Linked DNA regions of Rattus norvegicus. The protein of the gene in region 5 purifies or fractionates together with the protein of the main gene of each other region. This does not show direct contact. Links are inferred from orthologs where the notes say so. Each region holds a gene or a part of one and is shown on either strand. Other genes may lie near its edges. The genes, in order: Smarcc2, Tgfbr1, Smarcc1, Usp15, Smad2 and Skil.

The links.
Region 1: the proteins of Smad2 (region 5) and Smarcc2 purify together in Homo sapiens (affinity purification with mass spectrometry; 3 studies listed by BioGRID, with this or other methods). This does not show direct contact. The link is inferred for Rattus norvegicus from reciprocal best matches to the Homo sapiens genes SMAD2 and SMARCC2.
Region 2: the proteins of Smad2 (region 5) and Tgfbr1 purify together in Homo sapiens (affinity purification with western blotting; 8 studies listed by BioGRID and IntAct, with this or other methods). This does not show direct contact. The link is inferred for Rattus norvegicus from reciprocal best matches to the Homo sapiens genes SMAD2 and TGFBR1.
Region 3: the proteins of Smad2 (region 5) and Smarcc1 purify together in Homo sapiens (affinity purification with mass spectrometry; 3 studies listed by BioGRID, with this or other methods). This does not show direct contact. The link is inferred for Rattus norvegicus from reciprocal best matches to the Homo sapiens genes SMAD2 and SMARCC1.
Region 4: the proteins of Smad2 (region 5) and Usp15 purify together in Homo sapiens (affinity purification with western blotting; 4 studies listed by BioGRID). This does not show direct contact. The link is inferred for Rattus norvegicus from reciprocal best matches to the Homo sapiens genes SMAD2 and USP15.
Region 6: the proteins of Smad2 (region 5) and Skil purify together in Homo sapiens (affinity purification with western blotting; 8 studies listed by BioGRID and IntAct, with this or other methods). This does not show direct contact. The link is inferred for Rattus norvegicus from reciprocal best matches to the Homo sapiens genes SMAD2 and SKIL.

The regions. Positions count from the first base shown.
Region 1 is NC_086025.1:1,490,503-1,494,377, reverse strand, and holds the end of Smarcc2 (SWI/SNF related, matrix associated, actin dependent regulator of chromatin, subfamily c, member 2), read right to left. Parts: intron 2,598-3,875; coding exon 2,201-2,597; intron 1,899-2,200; coding exon 1,479-1,898; intron 940-1,478; coding exon 863-939; 3' UTR 501-862; downstream 1-500. UniProt on the Homo sapiens protein: Involved in transcriptional activation and repression of select genes by chromatin remodeling (alteration of DNA-nucleosome topology).
Region 2 is NC_086023.1:66,448,171-66,452,197, reverse strand, and holds the start of Tgfbr1 (TGF-beta receptor type-1 precursor), read right to left. Parts: upstream 2,801-4,027; 5' UTR 2,719-2,800; coding exon 2,634-2,718; intron 1-2,633. UniProt on the Homo sapiens protein: Transmembrane serine/threonine kinase forming with the TGF-beta type II serine/threonine kinase receptor, TGFBR2, the non-promiscuous receptor for the TGF-beta cytokines TGFB1, TGFB2 and TGFB3.
Region 3 is NC_086026.1:118,992,556-118,996,055, reverse strand, and holds part of Smarcc1 (SWI/SNF complex subunit SMARCC1), read right to left. Parts: intron 3,014-3,500; coding exon 2,894-3,013; intron 1-2,893. UniProt on the Homo sapiens protein: Involved in transcriptional activation and repression of select genes by chromatin remodeling (alteration of DNA-nucleosome topology).
Region 4 is NC_086025.1:60,643,111-60,645,708, reverse strand, and holds the end of Usp15 (ubiquitin carboxyl-terminal hydrolase 15), read left to right. Parts: intron 1-1,633; coding exon 1,634-1,816; 3' UTR 1,817-2,098; downstream 2,099-2,598. UniProt on the Homo sapiens protein: Hydrolase that removes conjugated ubiquitin from target proteins and regulates various pathways such as the TGF-beta receptor signaling, NF-kappa-B and RNF41/NRDP1-PRKN pathways.
Region 5 is NC_086036.1:72,124,029-72,128,143, reverse strand, and holds the start of Smad2 (mothers against decapentaplegic homolog 2), read right to left. Parts: upstream 2,801-4,115; 5' UTR 2,644-2,800; intron 2,566-2,643; exon of another isoform or gene 2,381-2,565; intron 1-2,380. UniProt on the Homo sapiens protein: Receptor-regulated SMAD (R-SMAD) that is an intracellular signal transducer and transcriptional modulator activated by TGF-beta (transforming growth factor) and activin type 1 receptor kinases.
Region 6 is NC_086020.1:114,200,773-114,204,776, forward strand, and holds the start of Skil (ski-like protein), read right to left. Parts: upstream 2,801-4,004; 5' UTR 2,753-2,800; intron 1,200-2,752; 5' UTR 526-1,199; coding exon 1-525. UniProt on the Homo sapiens protein: May have regulatory role in cell division or differentiation in response to extracellular signals.

The DNA.
Region 1 (3,875 bases), on a different chromosome or scaffold from region 5:
GCTTGCTGAGGGCAGAAGTTAGCAGACTGTCCCACTGTCAAAAGTAGGTGCTTAAGTGCTTTTCAAAACTCAAGGGTTGCAGACTCCCCATCCTCTTAGAGCTCCACCTTTGTTTGATGCCTGTTGGGCACTCAAGATACAACCAGGAAAGCAGGAAGAAGAGCCCACCTGAGGCCCCTTCTTCCTCTATTACCTACCACAGAATCCCTGCAAACTACATTTCCCACAAGTACACAGACGCTGACAGTGAGCAGGTGACTTAAAAACAACACGAGGCTGACACTCAGAGGGGAAGGTCATTGGCTGAGCTGGGCCTAACAGCCACAATGACAAGCAGCAGGAGGGATTAGTTTGATAAAGTGGAATGGGTGAGGGGCTGACTCAGCACTGCCAAGGGGCTCAGACAGGCTTGGTGCCCTGTTCCATCTCCACAGCCTGCCCCAAAACTTAATTCCTCTTAAAACGTTCCCTTTCCCCTCAAAAATAAAAATAAAAAGTTCTTTTTTGTGGTCTCAGATGTGTCTTTTTAAAACCTCCCTTTTAAAGGGTTTCATTTTCATGTTATCACTTCAAAACTGCAGTAATTCTGAAGGTACACCCTCAGAACCAGTAATAGAACCTTGAATAAACATCCTTCCCTCCTATCCTCTCTCCCAGGCATTAGAAACATCTTAGAAGTCCGTGGATAATATTGGATATAAAACTGCACACCTCTGCTGGGCATGTGGGGTGGTGAAGGGGCAGGAGCTTTCCTTACGTAGTGATGAACTCTCCAGGCTGAGGGAGGGTCCCAGTTGTGGGGGAGGGTGGTTCCTGGACTGTGATCTCCATGGGGAGTGAGGGGAGATAGCTGGCTGGTTCCTCACTGTGGGGGTGGCACAGGGGTGACTGTGCCTGGGCTCGGAGCTGTGGGGTCTGGAGGCAGCGGGGTGCCTGGGTCTGTGGAGAAAAGGAAGGTAAGTGAGCTGGAGCCTGCAGAGGGATGGCTGCAGTCCCAGGCTACACACACACACACACACACACACACACACACACACACACACACACACAGACCCAGGCATGGCATGCAGGGGTGGGTGGATGAATGAGGTACCCACTATGTATAATTTCTTCTTCCTAACACTCTTCTCTACCTGACACTGGGAACTCCTTATTCCCCAGACCATCCTCCTCTCCCTAAGGACTCTAAGTGGAGCATCTGCATGTGGTGGAAACAAGCAAAGGGCAGCCATCGCCATGCAGACGGTGGCCAGGCTCCAGGTTTACAGCTGAGGTCGTCCTCTGAGCCACTGGGCTCCTCCACGACCCACCAGTGAAAGGCCCCGTCAACCCAGAGGTGACAGCTGCCAAGTTGGGAAACGGAGGACTGCCAAGAGGCCTTTCTTCCTCCCGTGCTCTAGCCCTTTCCTTCCTGGCCTCCCTCCCACAGTGTAGAGCCCTCCCTCTCCCTCACCCTTCCCCTCCCGGCCCCTTCTCACCTGGCAGTGGGCTGGCACTGGGCAGGAGGCTGCCCTGAACAGCAGCCACAATGGCAGGGCTCTGGGCTGCGGCCGATCCGAGCCCCGGCCCGAGAGGCAAGGAAGATGGCATGGTGGTGGTCGCCGGCAGGTTAGGATGTAGAGGGTTCGCCATGGACACAGGCAGGTTAGGTGGGGGGATAGTGCCCGGGGCAAACGGGAGATGGTGGTGACCATGCAGGTTAGGAGGGGGAAGGTTAATACTAATGGAGTCGGCTAGACTACCGAATGGGATGATGGATGGAGCAGCAGGGGGAGGAAGCGGCAAGCCGAAAGGCAAACCCAAAGGAGCATTACCCGCCACGCCTGGGTGCCCGCTGCCTGGCACTGCCCCTGGCATCATTGAGGGAGGAGTTTGTTGGTTGGGGAACGGTGAGGGGCCTAGAAATGAAGAGAACACAGGGTGAGGGACTGGAACCTTGCTCAGCACCCGCTGCACAGCCACCGCTGGTGCCACCCCCTTGTACTGAGACTAGAATAAGCAGGAGATTCTTGGAATGAAACTCCACCAGGTATCTGTTTGGAACACATCCCTGCTAGTTGGGGGACATAGTACAATGGAGCCCACCTGTAGGACCTGCAAGAAACTTTTACATCCGAGTCATCAGGTGGGTGTCCCTTCAGAGGGACCAGAACATCTGCCCATCTCTACAGCAAACAAGTACTCTGGAACGCACACTCACCATGGGGTCCAGGGGGGGGTACCCCTGGTGGGACTGCCCCAGGCTGAGGGGCTCCAGCTTGTTGTGGCTGCTGTGGCCCTGCAGTTGTCCCTGCCTGCCCGATCTGTTCAGAAGGGCCCAAGGTTCCTGGAGGGGCCCCACCGCCAGGAGGAGCGGAGGCCACACTGGCTGGAGCTACAGCTAGACCGTGGACTGTCGCGGGTGCCGCGGCCCCGGTGGGGGGGATGGGCTGGGAGCCTGGGGGCAGGGCTGGCGGCGGCGGTGGCGGCGGCGGCGGCGGCGGCTGCTGCTGCATCTGCTGGAAGTGTTGCTGCCGCGCCCTCATCTCTGCATACTTCAGCTGCTCCATGTGGAAGGCTTGCCGGTCGGCCAGGAGCTGCTGCCTCTGATATTCCAGCTGCCGGTACCAGTGGGAACTGTTACCGGGTACCAGAAGACGTGGGCAAACTCCCTGACCCACTTCTTCTTTTGAAAGAGCCTAATCTCATGCTAGTGTTTCCCCAAGACTCAACCATGTGCTTCCTCTGCCCTCCCAGGGACGGAGACCATTGACATTGCTCCTCGCTGCGCTGCAGGAGAGGTAATCCGCTGTGGTTCCGGTTCACTTCATTTCAAAACTCTGAACTTGTTATTATTCTGATTTGAAAATGCCTCGAGCTCCTGTCAATTCAAGTTCTTTCCTTCCTTCAAAATCAGCTACAAACTTAATTATTTGTTAGGGAGACACTTCGCTGGCCTCTGAATTTTGACTTTATTCTGATTCTCCCAGAATTAATTTTATTTTTATACGTTTATTGGTTTTTCAAAACTGGGTTTCTCTATGTGGACCTGGTTGTCCTGGAACTCATTCTGCAGACCAGGCTGGCCTTGAACTCACAGAGAGCCACTTGCCTCTGCCTCCTGAGTACTGGGATTAAATCTCTTATTTTAAAAAGTTATTTTTGGGGTGCTGGAGAGATGGCTCAGCAGTTAAGAGCACTGACTGCTCTTCCAGAGGTCCTGAGTTCAATTCCCAGCAACCACATGGTGGCTCACAACCATCTGTAATGGGATCTGATGCCCTCTTCTGGTGTGTCTGAAGATAGCGACAGTGTGAATATACAGTGAATATACAAAAAATAAACAAATCTTTAAGAAAAAGTTATTTTAATGATGGATATGTCTGTCTGTCTGTCTGTGTAAGGGCATGTGCATGTGAGTGCGGGTGCCCATGAGAAACCCCTAGGGCTGACGTAGGTTCTCTAGAACAGCAATCTGTTCTCAATCGCAAGCTACTCCACTAGGACATCTCCGAATCTGAATTTTCCGGTAGTTTAAGGATCTCCATGTTGTATATTTGATGTTTCTAAGAGCAGGGTCCCCATGCTGTATTTCTTTTTCAGTCCTCTCTTTTTTTTTTTTTCCCCCCTCCGGAGCTGAGGATCGAACCCAGGGCCTTGCGCTTGCTAGGCAAGCACTCTACCACTGAGCTAAATCCCCAACCCCTTCAGCCCTCTCAAAGAAACTGAATCAATATTGTCTGTCTGTTCTGTCTATTTCCCAAATTTACCTGCCGGGTCTCTTACTATCTCTCAAATCCACTCAGTCACTCAGGTTTGTGAGAACCTAGTGAGAGGCAAGCACCGGTGGAGGACCTAGAGGTGCAGCGGCCAGAAAGCATGACTAGCATCCCACC
Region 2 (4,027 bases), on a different chromosome or scaffold from region 5:
TCCCTCCCCCTGCTTCTATGAGGGTGCTCCCCACCCACCCGCTCCCCTCCTGCCTTCCCACCCTGGCATTCCCCTACAACACTGGGGCATCCAGCCTTCACAGGACCAAGAGGCCATAGCTTCTTAAACTGAATCCTAACTCCTTATAGAGGTGCTGGGTCATACAACAATCTGGCAATACTCAAGGACTTCTGAATGTATAACACTCCAAATTAATTAAAAATCAAATGAGTAATGAATCTGAAGTGTTTCTGGCAATGCATGCTTGTGTTACATGATGCAACTTCACAACACCCTTGGTTCTAAACACACTTGCTGTCGTGTTATGCAGTGCTAACATTTATTTTTATAAGTTTTAATGTTTTTTATTAAATAAAAAGTTTTCTATTCTTCCAGAAACATACATACAGAAAAGGCTTTCATCCTTCATGTATATCAAAGTGGTATATTTGTGATCGATTGTAGATCGACTGTATTGTGTTAGAATGTCTGATTTTAAAAACTGCTGTTTAAGTTGCTGACTTAAATTTCATTTTAAAAATTATTAAATGAGGTCTGGAGAGACGGCTCAGTGGTTAAGGGCATCGACTGCCCTTCCAGAGGTCCTGAGTTCAATTCCCAGCAACCACATGGTAGCTCACAGCCATCTGTAATAAGATCTGATGCCCTCTTCTGGTGTGTCTGAAGACAGCTACAGCATACTTATATAAATAAAAAATTATTAAATAAATTTCATCTTGTGATTAAGAGAGAATTTTCAACAATGTCTGAAATGGCCCTAAACAATTATATGGAGTCGTTGGCATTGGATGATTTAATTCTTTAAGTAAAAATAAACTCACCCATCTCATTACTATGAAAATGTGCTTGAATCTTTAATAAATAGTAAAATTGTATGTACCAATGAATTGTTTTAAAATAATTTCATTTATGATCTATTATCAGCACATCTGAATTATATACTTGCTTTCTACATTTTGTACTCAAGGTCACGTACAATCTTTTGAGAAAAGAGGATGGCAAACGGGGAAAGTTTATGAAGTACTAGTCTAGGTTTTGAGTAATAAAATCCTCCAGGACACGGACCAACCTTCTCAGCATCTAAGTCAATACTGCTAAATGCATGAACGTGTCTTGCTTTGTTTTAGGTAGAAAAGAATTACTTTATTCAAATAATTGTAGAGATATGGCCACTTATAGTTGGTGAATAATTATAACAATTCCCCCACTTTGTCCACCGTTATTCCCTTCCTAAGCCAATGTCAAAAACCCATGGTATCTTCTAATGAAGACCTTTGTGAAGGGAATGTTCAAGTACTAGGTTGTTCAAGTTCAAGTAAACTAAGAAACTGATGGCTAAGTTCTAAGTGTCAAATATCAACTGTTCTTTAAGTGGGCTATGCTACGGTATAGCAGGTGCACTGATTTTGAGCCCAGAAAGGCCTAAGTACAAATTAATTTCTGCACTTACTAAGAACGTAATCTCCTGCACCTCAGTTTTCAAGTCAATGTACAGGACAAGTACTGGTAGCCCCGAGGGTTCTGTGCCCCGAGATACTGTGCCTTTTACATCTGCATTATAATCAACTCCCAATAAACAGTTACTATTAAGTTTAATAACAGCTGGCATCCACAGTCTGGAGAGATTTTTGTTTTGGTATGCTTTGCTTTTTAAAATGTTATCCAATTTCAGCAACAGACATGTATTTTCACTGTATTTTAGTTGCTAATCTGAGCCTCAGTATTTTGCTTTCTCCTATTTTAATCGGTTCCGGACTAAGTTTTTCAATCTTCCCTCCACGGGGTGACAACCGTATCACGGCCGGTTTTAATATTTTGGAAAACTACACATTTTCCCTTCAAAAGCCAGCTACATAGAGGTCTGATTTTAAGACTACTGCTTAAGGAAACGATACACCCAAAGCAACGATCCCGTCGAGAAAAAGAAATCTTTGATCAATTCTACAGAATCATTCCCATTCAAACGATCCCAAGTCTGCAGAGTGAGCAAACGTTCAAGTTTCTACTAGCAAGGCAATCTTCTGGTTACTGAACTCTCAACTCTTCCCAGACGCACGAAGAGAGAACATTCCGCGCATCTTCGCGCCTGCTTCTCACACAAAGCCCCCGGTTGAAGAAAAGTCGCCCTAGGCGGGCGCCGACACTCACAGCAGTGCGGCCCACCCGGGATCTCTGCCCACGGCGCCCCTTACGACCCTCCGAGGAGCCCTCCACGCGCCGAGCCCCGGAGCGCCTCCACGCCGGTGCCCGCCCACGCCCTAACAGTCTCAGGCCGGAGAGCACTTAGGCAGTGGAATCAGGGGGCCACGGTCCCCGCCGGCCTCACACCCCCGAGGGCAGCCACAGACCTCAGCAGGCTCGCCAGCCGCTGCTCCCGGGAGCCCAAGAGGGCAGGCCTCCGCTCGGTGTTCGGCCACCCGCGCTCGACACCGCCCCCGCCCCGCCTCTCCTCCCCGCCCCGGCTCGCGTGGCGCCTGCCGGGTCAGGAAAGCTCGGCCGGCCCGGCGCCGCCACCTGCGCCCCCGGCCCCGCGCCATGTTTGAGAAAGAGCTGAAGCGAGCCAGAGGCCGGGCCCGGCTCGCGCGCCCCACAGCCACCCGCCCGCCACTCACCCTTCGCCCCCGGGAGCAGCGTCGCCGCCGCCACCAACACGATGAGAAGCAGGCAGCGACGCAAAGCAGCCGACGCCGCCTCCATGGTCCCGCTGCCACTGTTTGTGGCCCGGCCCGGCCCCGGCCTCAGCTTCTCCTCAACAAGCCTCGCCTCTCCTCGCCCCACCTCCCCGCCGCCGCTGCGGCCTCGCTCCGGCCCTTTGTAACTGCTCGAGGGGCGCACGCCCATTGGCTGCCCAGCTCCCGCCGACCCCGCCTCCCCCGCCGCCCGCGAGCGCCCTAGAGGGACCCAGCGGAGAGCCCCGCCCTCGGGGCCCCTGGGCGGCCAATGAGCGGCCCTGGACTTCTGCCTCTAACCACGCCTCCGCACTGCTGGGCCTCTGGCCACGCCCCCTCACCGCTGGGCGCCTATACTCCAGCCACAGCAGGGTAGCTCGTACTCTACCGGCGGGTGGGGGCAGGGTCCAGCCTGCGCGCCCGAGGGAGCCCGCAGTCCGGACTAAGCGCTGGGTGTGCCCGTAAGAGTTGCTCAGGGAAAGACTGTGGACGTTGCTCGCTCTTTTCTTCTACTCCAACCCCACCCTGACTTTCCCTGCACAGTCCTGCACCGGCAAAGCTCAACTATCGCCACTCCGACCCTCAATACGGTCCGCGGTTCAACTTCTTCTCCCTAGACCCGCTCCTCAATTCCCAGCCTCCCCGCAAAGATAACCCGATTTCTTCCCGCACTCTATGGCCGCCCCAGACCTAGTCTTGCCCTCCTCAAATTCCAGTCCCAAAGTCGGAGCCCAGATTCTGAATCCCGAGGCGGAGCTCAGACACACCCCTGAGTGGCCTGTGTCTCTCGGCAGTATAAACAGACTGTGGGTCCCCGCCGCTCTCCTTCCCTCCCACCTTCCTGACCCCGCGTGGAAGCGGAGAGGCCTACGGGTTTTGAATGATGGGGGATTCGGGGCGAAGCGGGAGCAGTCATAGGTACTTAGAGCTGTCTCCGACACGCCTGTGTAATAATTTCGAGGTGTCACTAAAAACCCAAATAAACTCAGCTCCGCTTTCATTCTGAATTCCTAATTTACTGTGAGACGCTCCACCCACCTTCCCTCTGGGATGCCAAAATGAGCTCCAGATTTGTAATTCTTCCTGTCAGACTAGTCCTTTCTTCAGACACAAACACAGTCACGGAGGCGGCCGCATGGCACCGACAGCATTTTTCCGCAGAACCTTTTAAGGAGAAAATTTTATTTTCTGTATGATTTGAACTCGGAATTAAATGAAGCTCGGTAGTAGGAACCAGCCGGCCTCTAGTATCTGTTAGTAAATTGTTTTACAGCCACTCTCCAAGAGTTTGATCCTGCTTATGAAAGCAAACCGTGGGGGTTAGAGCTGGGGTCTGA
Region 3 (3,500 bases), on a different chromosome or scaffold from region 5:
CAGTCTTCTGTAATGAGATCTGGTGCGCTCTTCTGGTGTGTCTGAAGACAGCTACAATGTACTTATACATAATAAATCTTTTAAAAAAATTATATTTACAGCTGGGGAGTGAGAAATCCTATTTCAAATAACAATGAACAAATAAAATAAAACCATATTTACGAGGCTGGAAGTGGCTCAGCACTTACTACTTTTGAGGTTGCCAACACCCAAGTGTCGATACACAACCATCTAAAACTCCAATTCTAGGGCTCTGAGGCTCTCCTCTGACTTCTACAAACCCTGCAATCGAGCACACAAACCTATACTCAAGACAGACAGATACAGAATAATTAAAAATTTTTAAATTTTAAGTTTTTAAAAGTAAATAAATAGTGGGCAGGGCTGACGTAGTGGTGATACATGCCTTCAATCCCAGCACTGAAGGCAGAGAGAGGCAGAGATCTGAGGCCAACCTGATGTAGAGTGAGTTCCAAGACACCCAGGGCTACAAAACAAAAACTGTGTCTCAAAAAGCAAAATCAACTCTGTTCACTGTCTCTCTCTGCAATTTCCTTTAAGAGAATCACAAACCAGAAAAACCTTTCATTTGAGAAAAATGCTGATTTCAAGTTTGAGAGGAAAATAAACACATCTGGTCATCTGGCCCTCAGCCACGAATTATTTTTAAATATCATTTATGACTAAAAATATTCTCCTCTTATCAGTCAACCCTTTTAGTAAATAATGGCTTAGTTCCCAGGAGTTAAAACCCCATGTCTAGCGCACCCTATGTCATTTTTAGTGATGACACTTACATGCTCACAATTAGGAGTGACAAAAGAATGAGAATCATATTTTAGAAAATAAACACCTTCTTTGTTTTGTTTCTAAGACAGGGTCTCACTGTGTAGTCCTGGCTGTCCTGGGACTCACTATATACACCATGCTGGCCCTAAATTCAGAGAACCAACTGCCTCAGCCTCCCAAGTACTGGGATTAAAGATATGTATTTTTACACCAGACTTTAAAAAAAAACAAAAGCAAATAAAAAGCTTTATTCTAGAATAGCCAGAGCTAGAGATGTCTCAGAAACAAAAAGTACTTTACATATTTACATATTTTACTCTAAATCATGTGACATTTGATAAACTACACTGAATAATAATATGGTGCTGTATATATTCTAGATTTATTTCATGTGCATGCCACATATAAAACACATATACACACATATACATAAGTAAAAATTAAAAGTATAGTCATTTAAAATTTTTATTAGCTAGGTATGGTAACACGATTTTTTTTAAAATAAGATTTATTTATTTCATGTATAAGTACACTGTCACTGTCTTCGGACACACCCAAAGAGGGCATCAGATCCCATTACAGATGGTTGTGAGCCACCATGTGGTTGCTGGGATTTGAACTCAGGACCTCTGGAAGAGCAGTCAGTGCTCTTAACCACTGAGCCATCCCTCCAGCCCCAGTGACACACAATTTTAATTTCAATACTTAAGAGGCAGAGAGAGAGGCAGAATCTTTGAGCTCCTGGTCAACAGAGTGCATTAAAGGGCAGCCAAGGCTACACAGGGAAACTCTTGTCTTAAAAACAAAAAAACAAAAAACAAAAAAAAAAACACAAAAAAACCAAAAGAAAGAAAAAAATTTAATTGATAAAATTTGTATTTATTAGCTGGAAATGGTGGTGTATGACTTTAATTCCAGCACTTGGGAGGCAGAGGCAGGTGGATGTCTGTGAGTTCGAGGCCATCCTGGTTACATTGAGAAATTCTGTCTTGAAAAACAAAACAGAACACAAAACTATATTTACTTGTTTGTGGGAGGGTATACAAGCACTCCAGCACAAGGGCAAACATAAAAGGATGTTTTAAGAGTGTGGAACTTGGCAGGAGGGGCAGGAGGGGAGGGAAAAGTATGGAACTCTGGGTTATCAAGCAGGTTATCAAGTGCTGGAGAGATGGCTTAGTGGTTAAGAGCACTGACTGTTCTTCCAAAGGTCAATTCCCAGGAACCATATGGTGGCTCACAGCCATCTGTAATGGGATCTAATGCCCTTTTCTGATGTGTATGAAGAGAGCAACAGTGTACTCATACATGAAATAAATAAATCTTTAAAAAAACAAAACAAAACAAAAAGGAAGTATAGAAATTATCACAGACCTTTAATCCTAACCAGTCACATAAGCCTGTTAGAGAACTTAGCTAGTATGCACAAGGCCCTAGGCTCAAAAACCAGCAGGAGAATGGCCTCCAATTCTGTACAAGCTTTGCTATGGCTGTCCACTAGAGTACTGTGGCTATGGCACTGCTGAGGACACTCTTCCTGTTAACTGTTCTCTTCTGTACAAATTCCTTTACATACTTCATGTGCTAGAGAAGGTCAAGGTGCTTGCTACCAAGACTGATGACTTGAGTTTGTTCCCTGTGACCCAAATGGTGGAAAAGTCGACTCCTGAGAGTTGGCAGCTATGGCAGGCATGTATCCACACGCACGGACGCACACAGCTCTAACAGACAAGTATCAGTATAGACAACACAGCAGAGAGCAACCATAACAAAGAAATACTACATCTTCGGGATTGTTGCAGAATGTAAGACGTTAAATGGCATAGCCCACAAGAATCCAACCACTAGGCTGACGATGACAGCACAGCTCGTAGTCCCAGCTGGAGAAGTGAAGGTGAAAGGAGAGTCCATAGCTGGCCTCTAATGCAGACAGCTGCAGGACAGCCTAGGGCTCTGTAACAAACCAAAAACAAACCAACGAACACCTCTGTACAAGTTGTTCTCCCCACCCCCATGATGCCTGGCAATACTAAGGGAAATCAACTCTAAGTGACACCTAAAAGCAGAAACTCAAGATCCCTACATAACAAGTGCATGCACTTACAGGTAGTTTGGTGAAAGCTGGGTTGGTGACATGCTTCCCAAAGGCATCTTCTTGGAACTGCAGAAGCTGCACCACCAGTCCAGCCAGTGTTTTATTGGTAGGCGCATCCGCATGAACATACTGCAAGATAAAGAAAGACATGGATTCAGAACCTGGTATAGCTAATGCTGAAGAGAAAGCTATGCTACGTTAGTTTCTAGTACCTACTAAGTAATGGCTCTATACCACGTTTTAGGTGTATAAAGTTCATTCTCAACTGCAAAGAATCATAAAAATAATACAAGTACATTCTTCAAGGCAGAACATAAATGCTAGAGAGATGGCTCAGCAATTAAAACTAGATGCTCTTACCAGCACCCAAATGGCAGTTCAGAAATGTCTGTAACTCTAACAGGATATCCTACAACCTCTCCAGTCATGTATGGAGTACACAGGAAAAGCACCCATAAATATCCACACAAAAAAGACAAACCAGGCTGGAGAGATGGCTCATGGTTAAGAGCACTCACTGTTCTTCCAAAGGAACGGTCAATTACCAGCAACCACACGGCACAACTGTAACTACAGTACCAGAGGAGTCAACACCCTCACAGAGACATAGGTGCAG
Region 4 (2,598 bases), on a different chromosome or scaffold from region 5:
TAAGTGTGGCTCATATTTAAAACTATTGTTTATTGTTTCTTTTGAGAACTGTTCACTGGCCCATTTATTGGTTGACACTTTTGTTGTGGGGGTTGAATTTTTGTAGTTCTTTATTTAGATTTAAACCCTGTTTGAAATATATGTAGTAAAGATTTTCTCCCATTCTGTAAGCTGTCAGTTCATTCTGCTCATTAGTTTCCTTTGCTCTGCAGAACCCTTCATCTCCTGTAGTGTCCTATGTTCATTCTTGGTAGCCTGGGCAATCTTATAAAGTGATAAAGGAGCCATGAAGATGCTCAGTGGTTAAAAGCACTGGCTGCTTTTCCAGGGACCCTGGGAACTCTTCCCAGAAACCAAATGACAGCTCACAACCATCTAACTCCAGTTTCAAGGGATCCAGCGCCCTCTTCTGGCTTCTATAGAACCAGGTTTCTCATTGATGCTCAAACATACTTGCAGACCAAACACCTATACAAAGTAAAAACAAATTTAAATAAATTATAAAAGATACACCTTTTATTGGACACTAGCTCTCAGTCAGGACATGAAGCTTCAGCCTCAGTTGAATCCTTCATAGATAGGGGTGGGACAGGTGGTCATGCTCAGGTGCACCAGGCCCTCCGCGGTGACCCCTCTTTGGTGGTAATTGTATCGATCATAACCTCTATGCAAACCTCCAGCAGTGCCGTGACGGGGTAAAGTTCCACATCAGTACCCAGCTTCCAAGTCTAATCAACAAGCTACTTCTCCTCCAGTGGCTCAGGCCATGCCACCCTGCAGTCCTGGGTTAGCAAAGCCCAGTTGCCTGCAAGGGCTGCTGGGAAGGGAATGCATACCCTTGAAAATAGTCCTTTGAAATGAGTATTTTCAAGTTGGGAATGGTAGCACACACCTTTAGTCCCAGCACTCGGGAAGCAGAGACAGGCAGATCTCTGAATAGGAAGGCAGCCTAGCCTATAGACTGAGTTTTCCAGGACAGCCAGGGCTACACAGGAAAGCATGACTCAGAAAACCAAAAAGAAAAAGAGATGTCTTTCGCATATGTGAATTATACAGGAACAGGTTTCTGTATGACATTTCAGGGGTGTGAGTAGTGTCCTTCGGTAAGCTTTATTCTCTGGACTTGTCCCATCTACTCCTGCCCTTTTCTGTTCCTGATTGTCACTTTTGTACTTTCTTTTTTTTTTTTTTTTTTTTTTTTTTTTTAAAAAATCAGTGTTCTCCTAATAAATACTGGAGAAAAGTTCAACATGTTTAACCACCTGAGGAAATGTTATATAACAGGAAAAGTTGCACTAGAGGTCCAGCATAAGCTGAAACACTTGTTGTTAGATAGAAAGATACTCAACCTTCAAGTAAATAGAAAAACTATTGTGTTTTATATTATGGTAAGTATGTTAATTTATATTTTGACTATATATATTTCTTAGTCCAAATTATATAGAATTAACCTGTTTATTTTTAAATATAGAAATAATAATATTTAGCCAATTTTAGTTGCTTCCTTATGATCATGTGTAGTTTTACTATTTGTTTTTTTGTCACTAAAATTGGTTATTAGCTAAAACTTTGTGCCATATCAGCTATGATTTTTGTGTGTTGCCACCATTGACACACCTTACTTGTTCAACAGTCCAAAGCAGCATACGTGCTCTTCTACCAGAGACAGGACACTTTCAGTGGAACTGGCTTCTTCCCTCTCGACCGAGAAACTAAAGGTGCTTCAGCTGCCACAGGTGTCCCCCTGGAAAGTGACGAAGACAGCAATGATAATGACAATGATCTAGAAAATGAAAACTGTATGCACACTAATTAATGAAAGTCCAAGAAGCCATACGAGAGAGAGAGAAAGAGAGAGAGAGACTTTCCTGCCGGTGGTATCTGTGGAGACGGAGTTACCCACCGCATTAAACAGAGGTCTGAGAGGAGGCGTTTCAGATACCCGAATGTAAATCCTTTATCAGATTTTAACTTGTGCAGTACTTGAAGTGAAACACAATGAAAACTTTAACAGAAATTGTCTCTTAATACATTTACAGTCTTGTATTTACAAGCTAAATATATATAGGAAATCACAAATAAATCCCTTTTAAGTTTGCTGCTGTTTTGATCAATTATGTTTTCTTTAATTTTTGGATGTGACTTAATTGATGACAAATGTTAACTTTGTGGATGTTGGTCATTAATTTTGCTCTAATAATACTGCAAGGAAACTCTGGCTGAACTTGGTTCTTGGGTAATCTAGTCCTGTGCGCTAGGCTGGCTGTCTGCACCTCTCGGGTACTTAGCTGCTGTCAGTGTGGCCCAGACACTGCAGTGCCCTTGGTACACCAGATCTCCCAGTCTGTCTGTCCCTGGTAATCAGTGTGGGTCTGTTACCACAACCCGAGGAGCAGCCTTGAGGAAGTTCCCTTTTGTTGTATCATTAAAGTGCAGAACATTACGTTTATCTCGCTCACTGTGGGAACACGTTCTAGATTTCACATGCCATCAAAATCATTTTCAGCTACATGTAAGTATCTTTCACTGCAATTGGAATCTATAAATTTTTCAATTTTGTTTTGGTTTAAAATGCTTATCTTCAATTCACTGTTGGTT
Region 5 (4,115 bases):
TTCTTAGTGTCATAGGAGCTAACACAGCCCATCCGTCCCTCCTAGTGCCGTCCTTTACACCTGACAGAGAGCAATGCAAATAGCTTCAGGAAGTGGCTCTGGATGAATTATGAGTGCTCAAGCTCAGCTTATGCTCTGACATAATTAACCTCCTTACTTTGGGGCCTTTGGCCAGAAGACACAGGATTTTTATTTTCCTAATTCCACTGAGAAGTGTTGTGACTAGCCACAGAAAGTTTATTGTGTAAGTACGTATTACTTGTCCAATAAAGTGATACTGAATTCTTTATAGTCAGTTTCTGATACACCTTTGCAATACTTAGTAGAAAACTTCTTTGCACTCACAGAAACCAAGGGCCTAAAAATGTCTCTTCTGCTTTTACCCAGACAAAGCATCTAAAAAGATATGCCTCTCTCCACCCTCTAAAAAGGATTCTTGTCCCAAGAATATGAATAAACCTCCATCTGCCAGACTACACTATATACAGCTCCTGCATGCATTACAAAAGCACCTGGATAAAAAGGCTGCTGCAAACGTGGTTTCTGGAGTCCAAAGTATTCAGCCAACAGCATCCAAACCAAGCACGAAGGGAAACGGTTAGGCCCACAAGTCAAATCTAAAAACCCAAAAGGTCCTTAAGCACCAGTTCATGCAGCTAAACTACTTACGTTTGCCTGTGTGTTCACTCAGCCTCCCTAATGATAGTACTGACTACTGCAGCATCATCCTATATGTATACACAAAGGAAAGGGCTATACAGAAAACCATCCCCAACAGTCCTAATATGAGTTAAACCACACAACCAAGCCCAACGGGAAGTTACTCTGCAGTTTCTCCCAACACTGACTTTATGAGCCACACAGGGTGCATAGCTATTTACTGACAAGTACCTCAGAACCCCAAAGACCAAATTTTGCAGAACACTCTCAATATGAAATCACTTCAGGTGTACCTACAAAATTGCAACCAACAGTATTAGAGTAGTGTCTTGCTAAGGAACACAAGGAGGTTTATAATCCTAGTCCAGTGATTAAGCCTGGCCAGGGAGGACCCTAAACGTAGGTAAGTCAACTATTTTGTAACATTAAGCATGTACCTGGGCACTCAGTTTAAAAATGTCCTAAGACCACAACAAATTCTCTTACCTCCACAGGTAAGTTTATGCCAAAATAATTTTTAAAAATAACATCGATGTTACTTTATGAATTCAACATAAACATTTGCTAAATGACCTAATGAATTAGAAAAAAATCTCTTTATGACTAAATGGGAGAGGGATAAAAACCTTAAAACTATAATACATTTTGCTTCTCTCATGTCTGGATTCCATCTGCTTCACTAACTCATGGATTGAAACTATTCCAACTTCGTTTTAACTACTTAACACTTCTTTGTAAAGGGGGAAATTGCTTTTTACAGGAACCAAAGTAAACTAATAGGAAAGATATTCCCAGCATGGCAGCAAATGTATTTGTGTTAGGCTCAAGAGAAAAATCCTTTCTATTAGCGGTATGGGGTTAAGTCATGGAATTAGAAATAAGAGATTTTGGAAACTGACATTCCAGGGTGCCATTTTTGTAAAGATAACCTTCAGGTTACATTTATTTACATATGTCATTTCATTAGTTAAGAACACCGCCGTTTAGAATTCCCCAACAAGGCATAACAATAAGGTGGAATGCTGCTGAACTATTTCACATGTTTTGTTTTGTTTTTAAATTGGTGTGACAACAAACAGGTAGCGTTTGCCTTTAAGTGTAAAAGAAATGAATAACAAAACCAACCTCGATTTTTATTTTTCTTTTGTTTAGATTCACAAGGAAACCCTAACCTGCAAGGGTAAGAGGACAAAAGTACCTGGGGCCCAAGGACAGTATTCCTAGAAGAAAATAATCCAAGCACCGACTGTGAAAACCAAGTCTGAAATAAGTGCACTCAATTAGCATGCTTCCTAAAGGCGTGTGATTAGAAACTAATAGGCAGTACCCACGGAGCAACTTTCCCAAGTGCGTGGAGGATGAGCCCGGCAGCCTCAGCCACGAGCGTGTTTCTGAGTGCACACTATGATTCGGAACCCACGACTGTTACGGTTAACAAAGGCCACAGGAAAGAAGAAAAAAAAAAAAAAAAGGAAAAAGTAGAAGCAAAGTACCACACGCCCCTAACTCGGCTCCGGAGCCATTCTGCAACGCAAAGCGAGAGCGGCCGCGAGCCGGGACAGAAGCGGGCCGCAGCCAGGCTGGGCGGGGCGGGGGCTCGGGGCCCTGCCCACGGCGCCGACCCCGGCCCGCGCGCCACGGCCCGCCACACCCCACACGGGCAGCCACGTGACCCGGCCCCGCACACCCCTGCCCGGTCCCCCGGGCGCCCCGGCTTTACCTGCACCCAGCGCCTGGTCCCGGCCCGTCCGAGCCGGGCCCCGGACCTTTTGTTCCTTCCTCTTCCGACGGGCTCCGCGCTGCCGGAGGAGTGGGCGCGCGCAGGCGGAACTGCGCCGCGGGCCCCCGCCCCGCCCCCAGGCCCGCGCTCACCGCGGCCGGCTGGGGAGGGAGCCGCCTGCTCCACTCGGCGCGGCCCCGCGGCCCGGCACTGCCTGCACCCCGCGCCGCCGCCGCCCTCCGCCCCGGCCGCCGCGCACCTACCTTCGGGCGGCTCGCTCAGCGCTCGCGAGCTGCAGGCGAGCGAGCTGCTCCTCCACCGCCGCGCGCGGTAGCCCCGCCTCCCTCCCCGAGCCGCGGGCCCCGCCGATTCGCCGGCGCAGCCCCGGGCTGGCACCCTGCCGCCCGCTGATTGGCGCCCGCGGCCGCCCGTTAGGCGTGAGGCACGCCGGCCGAGCGGGCGCGCACGGAAGACGGAGGGAGCACGGCAGGGACGGAAGGAGGCCGGGCGCCGCGGGCAGGGCCGGGGGCCGAGCGGGGCGCGGGCAGGCGCGGGCCGCCGCCTCCCGCCTCCGGCCCGACCGGCGGCACGCGCAACCAATCAGCGAACGGGGAGCCCGGGGTGTGAGCACCGCGTCGGGGGCCTGGAATCGGAAGGGAAACGTCGCTCGCTGATTGGTTCCGCCTTCCCCGTCGAGCGTGAGGCGAGGCGAGGCCGGGTTGGGTGGCACGCCCGCGGTTGCGCTTGAGTTCGTGTCCGGCGCGCTCCCACCGGGCTCCGGGAGGATCGCGGAAGGCCGCGCAGCGTGCCACGCCCGCAGACCCCCGCCCTGGCGCCTCTGGGTGGAGCGCCGCGGCTAAGCCCTCGCCCACCTCCGTCGTGAGGCCGGAATGGACACGTGCTCGGGCCTGGGCCCGCCCCCAGCCGGGTCTGAGTCGCTGGACTGGCAAAGCTCTGGAGAAGCCAGGGTGCTGGCCGCTGAGGGGCGCGCCCTATGCAAATAAGTGGGCGGGGCCGCGCCCTGGGGGCGGGTGGCGAAAACTGCGGAGCTAGGGTTCTTGTCCGTGGGGTTGGTGTTAGGGCTGGGCCCCTCCTTGGGTGTGTTTCTCCAACCCGAGCCGTAGGTTCTTCTGAAGTAGAACTATTAGTGATAGCTGGTTCGAATGCTCATTGTGAAGCATGAGCAACTATGAGTGCTCCTTGATTTGCTGGCTTCTCCCTAGCTCATGTCCCTAACTGTGCCCCTGTTCCTAGACCCGTACTTCTCACCAAGTTCCCAAATTTAGGACTACCCGCAGTTTGATTTTGACTCAACCCTGGCAGATGAAAGACTGTGTTAGGATAATAAACCTAAATTTGAAATGCCTCTTTCAGGTTGCTAGTGGTAAAGAAAATACCAGAACGCAGTTTGCTTGGCTGTTGGTCATGCCCATCTATACTTAGCTACCTCTTCATAGGATTCCTGGGAGAGGCAAGTTAGTCCAGCAAGCCTCATGAGCACGACAGAGGAGTGCAGGAGTAACAACACAGTGTGCGAAGCAGTTAGGAGTGGAGCATGCTCTCTCCTCAGATGTGAGGGCATCCAGAGCAGGGGCCTTTATGTGGTCCTTGAGTTGTTTGCCCTTCCCTCCAGACTTAACAGGTTTTTAGATAGGCTTTCAAAATCTCCACCACTCTTCTCATGGGAAAGATGTAGCTCGCCCCAGATGCAAGCCAGTCATAGTTTCAAATGCAG
Region 6 (4,004 bases), on a different chromosome or scaffold from region 5:
AAATTCTCGGAGAACAGAATTTAAGACTTGGGGCAAACACAGTCTCTTTTCTCCTCCGACTTGAAAACAAGAAATAGACTCCCCTTCCAAAACAGTCTGAGTGAGCTCTGTGGAGCTATCAGAAGGAATAAGAAGAGGACCAGGAAGAACCTGAGGAGACGGAAGAGGCAGGAACACAGTCGGTGACATGCTTTCTTGGGAATATCGAGCAGAAAAAGCTGCTGGTCCACCCAAAGAGCTCTGACTACTTAAATGGAATTGTGCCAGTGTGTGTTTCAGACTGGGGTTTAAATTTAAAGTTTCAGGTAGAGAAGGACAGTTGCGCTTGGCGTGCTCGCCATCTGGTTCCACTGACGCATCTCCGTAGTCGTCCAAATGCTCCTTCTTCACCTGGGTCAGCGTTTTCCCATTGGCATGAATGTCTGTCATCATTTTTTTCACGGGAGGACTGCCATCATCCTCCATCCCGCTCAGCTTTTTATTTGAACCCTGAACTAAGGAGAAATTAGACTGCAGGTTTTCCATGGCCACACCGGTGTTTTTAAATAATTAAGTCTTCAATTGGCATGTTGTTCTCAGTTCCTAATTTGAAGAGAAAAAGGCAACGTATACAAATACTTGTGACTCACTTAGAAATGTTTAGTTTCCAAAGATGAATTTTCTTGCTCAATAGATTGTACAACTCTGTTTCGGTTCAGCCGTTTCTCAGGATGTAACTGAAAATACTACAAAACTTCTCAATTCGCTTCTAATAACAAAGGGTATAATTGTCAGCACACCCCTGAGAAAAGTCTTGTTTTCTTGAGCACTTCAGCTATTTATGTTAAAATAAAGCTAATTCCTCAGTTCAAGAAGTCCAAAGTTTGGTATAGTGGTTGAGTTTGGTTGGTTTTGTTCTTTAAGCAAAGCATGTGGAAAGTTTATGCCATGACTGTATCCTGAAACTACACCCAAACACGAGTTACAATGATGCAATGGTTTTAGTTTTTGCCAAGAACACCAAAAAAGAAGAGGCAGGTATCCTCACTGAAAATGGTGGTCTGTGGCTCTGTGCTGACAAACTGAAGACTTGTCTAAATCTCCACACAGCAGGAGCCTGGCTCCACCTGAACTTTTATAATTAGCAATATACATACACTAAGTAAAAAAGCTGCCCAGTTTATCTTCAGGGATTACAGTTCATTCTTCTTTTAATTGATCTGGAAGAGAAAGGGGTGGGGAGAGTTACATTTGAATTAGCTCCAGAGGCCAAAGGGTCTGTTTAAAACCAGTTTCTTAATCTTAAACTCAGTTCACTTTGCCAAAGGTAACACTTGGGTGGTTTCTTCCAACCTAACACCAGTTATCTAAAAGAAACTTCATCTAAATAGGAAGCAGTCCAGACCGTGGGTAACAGGAGCATTAAATAATATCTCTCCAAACAAGGAAGAGTACACAAATTTAGAATACGGATAACCAAAACGCAGTAGCAGAGGCTTTCTCAACTATGCATGCCATTTAAATTTTAAAAAGTAATCCTTTCTCTTCAGAAAAAAGAACCCTGTAGTTTCTGCTCTCCCCCCACCCCGCAAAAGATACATGTTAATATACCTACCATATGTAATTAAGTCTCAAGCAGATTAATTCATCTAGTCAATATATACTATCTTTTTAAATTGAAGAAGAAGAAAAACTTTCCCTTTAAAAGGTTAGCGAATTTGCTTAATGGAAGCCAAAAGCTGTAAGACTCCATGCCTGGAAATCTCCATCCTTTAGCAAGACTAATCCGGGACAAAAAGCACAAGGCAGACAGACCTCACAAAGAATGCAAATGGAGGCAGAGTGGCGAAAAAGAGTATTCATCCACTTCCCTCCCTGGAGAAAACCCAATAAAAGCCGATAAATAAAAACCTTTGCTTCTAAACTCCCAGCAATTTATGTTAACACAAACCCAGAGAATTACGGACGAAAGCCACCTAGCCACCGTACTGTGACTTTCGCCACTACAGGGACACCTCAGCCAAGGCGAGCCAAGGAAAAGGGCAGGAGGCATGACCTAGACCAGGGGCGCCCCCGCAGCCCTGCGCACACGCAGAGACACCCACTCATCATCAACCCGAAGGACCGGGAAGCAGAGGACTCCCGACGTCTGGTGAGGTGAGAGGGGGCAGAGGAAGTAGGAGTCCTCCCAACCCCCACCTCTGTGACCGGGATCACCCTAAGTGCCCTCCCCACATCGCCCCACTGCGGGGGCCGCCGGTGGAAATCCCCCACGCACTCGGTCCGCGGGAAGTTCTCTGGGGTTACCTCTGCGCCCCAGGGCTGCGCCTCCCCACCACTGACCCACCCTGAGCCGTAACACCCAGAGGGGCGCAGGCAGGTTGGGCGCCAAGCCCGGAAGCCTGCGTCGCTGGACGCTCAGAGATGGGGCCAGCCCGAGGCATCCCCGCCGAGCGCAGACGGCCGGGGGATGGCGGCGATGACCGGTGTCCAGGTCTCCCGGGTCCCGGCGGCTCGGGTCAAGTGCACCGCCATCCCCTCCCAGCCGACCCGTCCTAGAATCTGCGAGGCCTGTACACCCGTGGGACCCCCGCCGCGCGCCCTGTGCCCTCGACCCCGCCCGGGACCCCACGCATCCCGGACGCCCCACTCAGGCCCTCGGCGCCCGGACAGCCCCACGGGCTCTGTGGCCTCCCCATAACCCCCCCGCCGCCGCCTCAGCGCCCCCAGAGGCCGCACGCCCCTCACGTCCCCTCGCGACCTGCGGCCGCACCTGTGCCCGCCGTCGCCGTCGCCGTCGCTCGCCCGCCGCCTTCGCTGTGCCGGCGCCGCTCCGAACCCCACACACATCGCTACACACAGCCTCTGACGTCACCCGGCCCGCGGCCCGCCCACGTCACTGCGGAGACACGGCTTCCCGCAGACGCCGCCGCCGTCTCCGGCCGCCCGGGGGACAGCGAGGGCGGCGGGCGGGGGAGGGGAGGGAACTAAGCCAGCGGCGCCGCGCGGCCCCGCGCCAGCCAGTCCCTCGAGCGCGCGCGCCGTCTGCCCTATTGTGGCTCCTCGCGGTCTGCGCGCTTCAGGCTGCGCGCGCCTCTCCGGCCCTGGCCGGGGCGCGCGCCTGGTGCCTCCGCCGCGCACGCGCGTGCGCCGGTCTCCCGCTCCCCCGCCCCCTCCCGCGCGTGCCCCGCGCTGCTGGCTGGCCCGGCGCGCCGTCTGGGCGGCTGGCGCACGGCACTGTCTGCGGTGCCCGGCGCAGACAGGATGTTCCCTCGGCCCCACCCCCGCCGCCCTCCTTCCTTCCTCGAGTCGCCCAGCCGGCTGTCTGGGGCCGCCCCCGCCACGCCCGCCGCCGTGTGGTGACGGGCCAGACCTGGGGGCGCCCTGGCCGCTGGGCCGCCGCGCGGCAAGGCGGGGGTGAGAAGGCGGAGAGGGGGTAGGGCGCGGCGGGCTGCACTGTGCGCGACCCCGGCAGCTGGCCGCGCCCGAGGTCAGACTCGGCCAACAGCCCCCCACCCCCGCGGCCGCAGCTGGCCGCCTGGCCCCGCCCCGGAGGTAGCCTGCGGGTGGCTCCCCGCCGCGACCCCCGGGCTGAGCCCGCCGCGCAGACGCCCCCGCGCTGCCACCCTCCCCGTTCAGCGCTGCCACCTGCCCCCGTGCTCCCCCCGCGCTCCCTCCCCCAGCTCTCCCCCCCCCCGCCGGCGCGCAGACGTCGCGGGGCCTCTCGCCCCCGTGGGGCCTCCCGCCGCGGCCGCCCTGCCAGCTGCTGGCGATCAGCCCCGCCTGGCCGCGCTGGGGTGGCCTCACCCGGTCGCCTCCCGGGCCGCCATCGCCCGGGAGGCGGAGGTTTCAGCACCGCCGGGGCAGACCTTGCTGCCCCAGCTGCTCTCGTCCTCCATAAAGTGACCGGTTCTAATTCACTAAGCACTTTGGTTGGGGTTTTCGGGCTTTTCCTTTTTTTTTTTTTTTTTTCTTTTTTCTTTTTCTTTTTTTTTTTCCAGAGACGGTAAGAGGTGGGGGAAGAT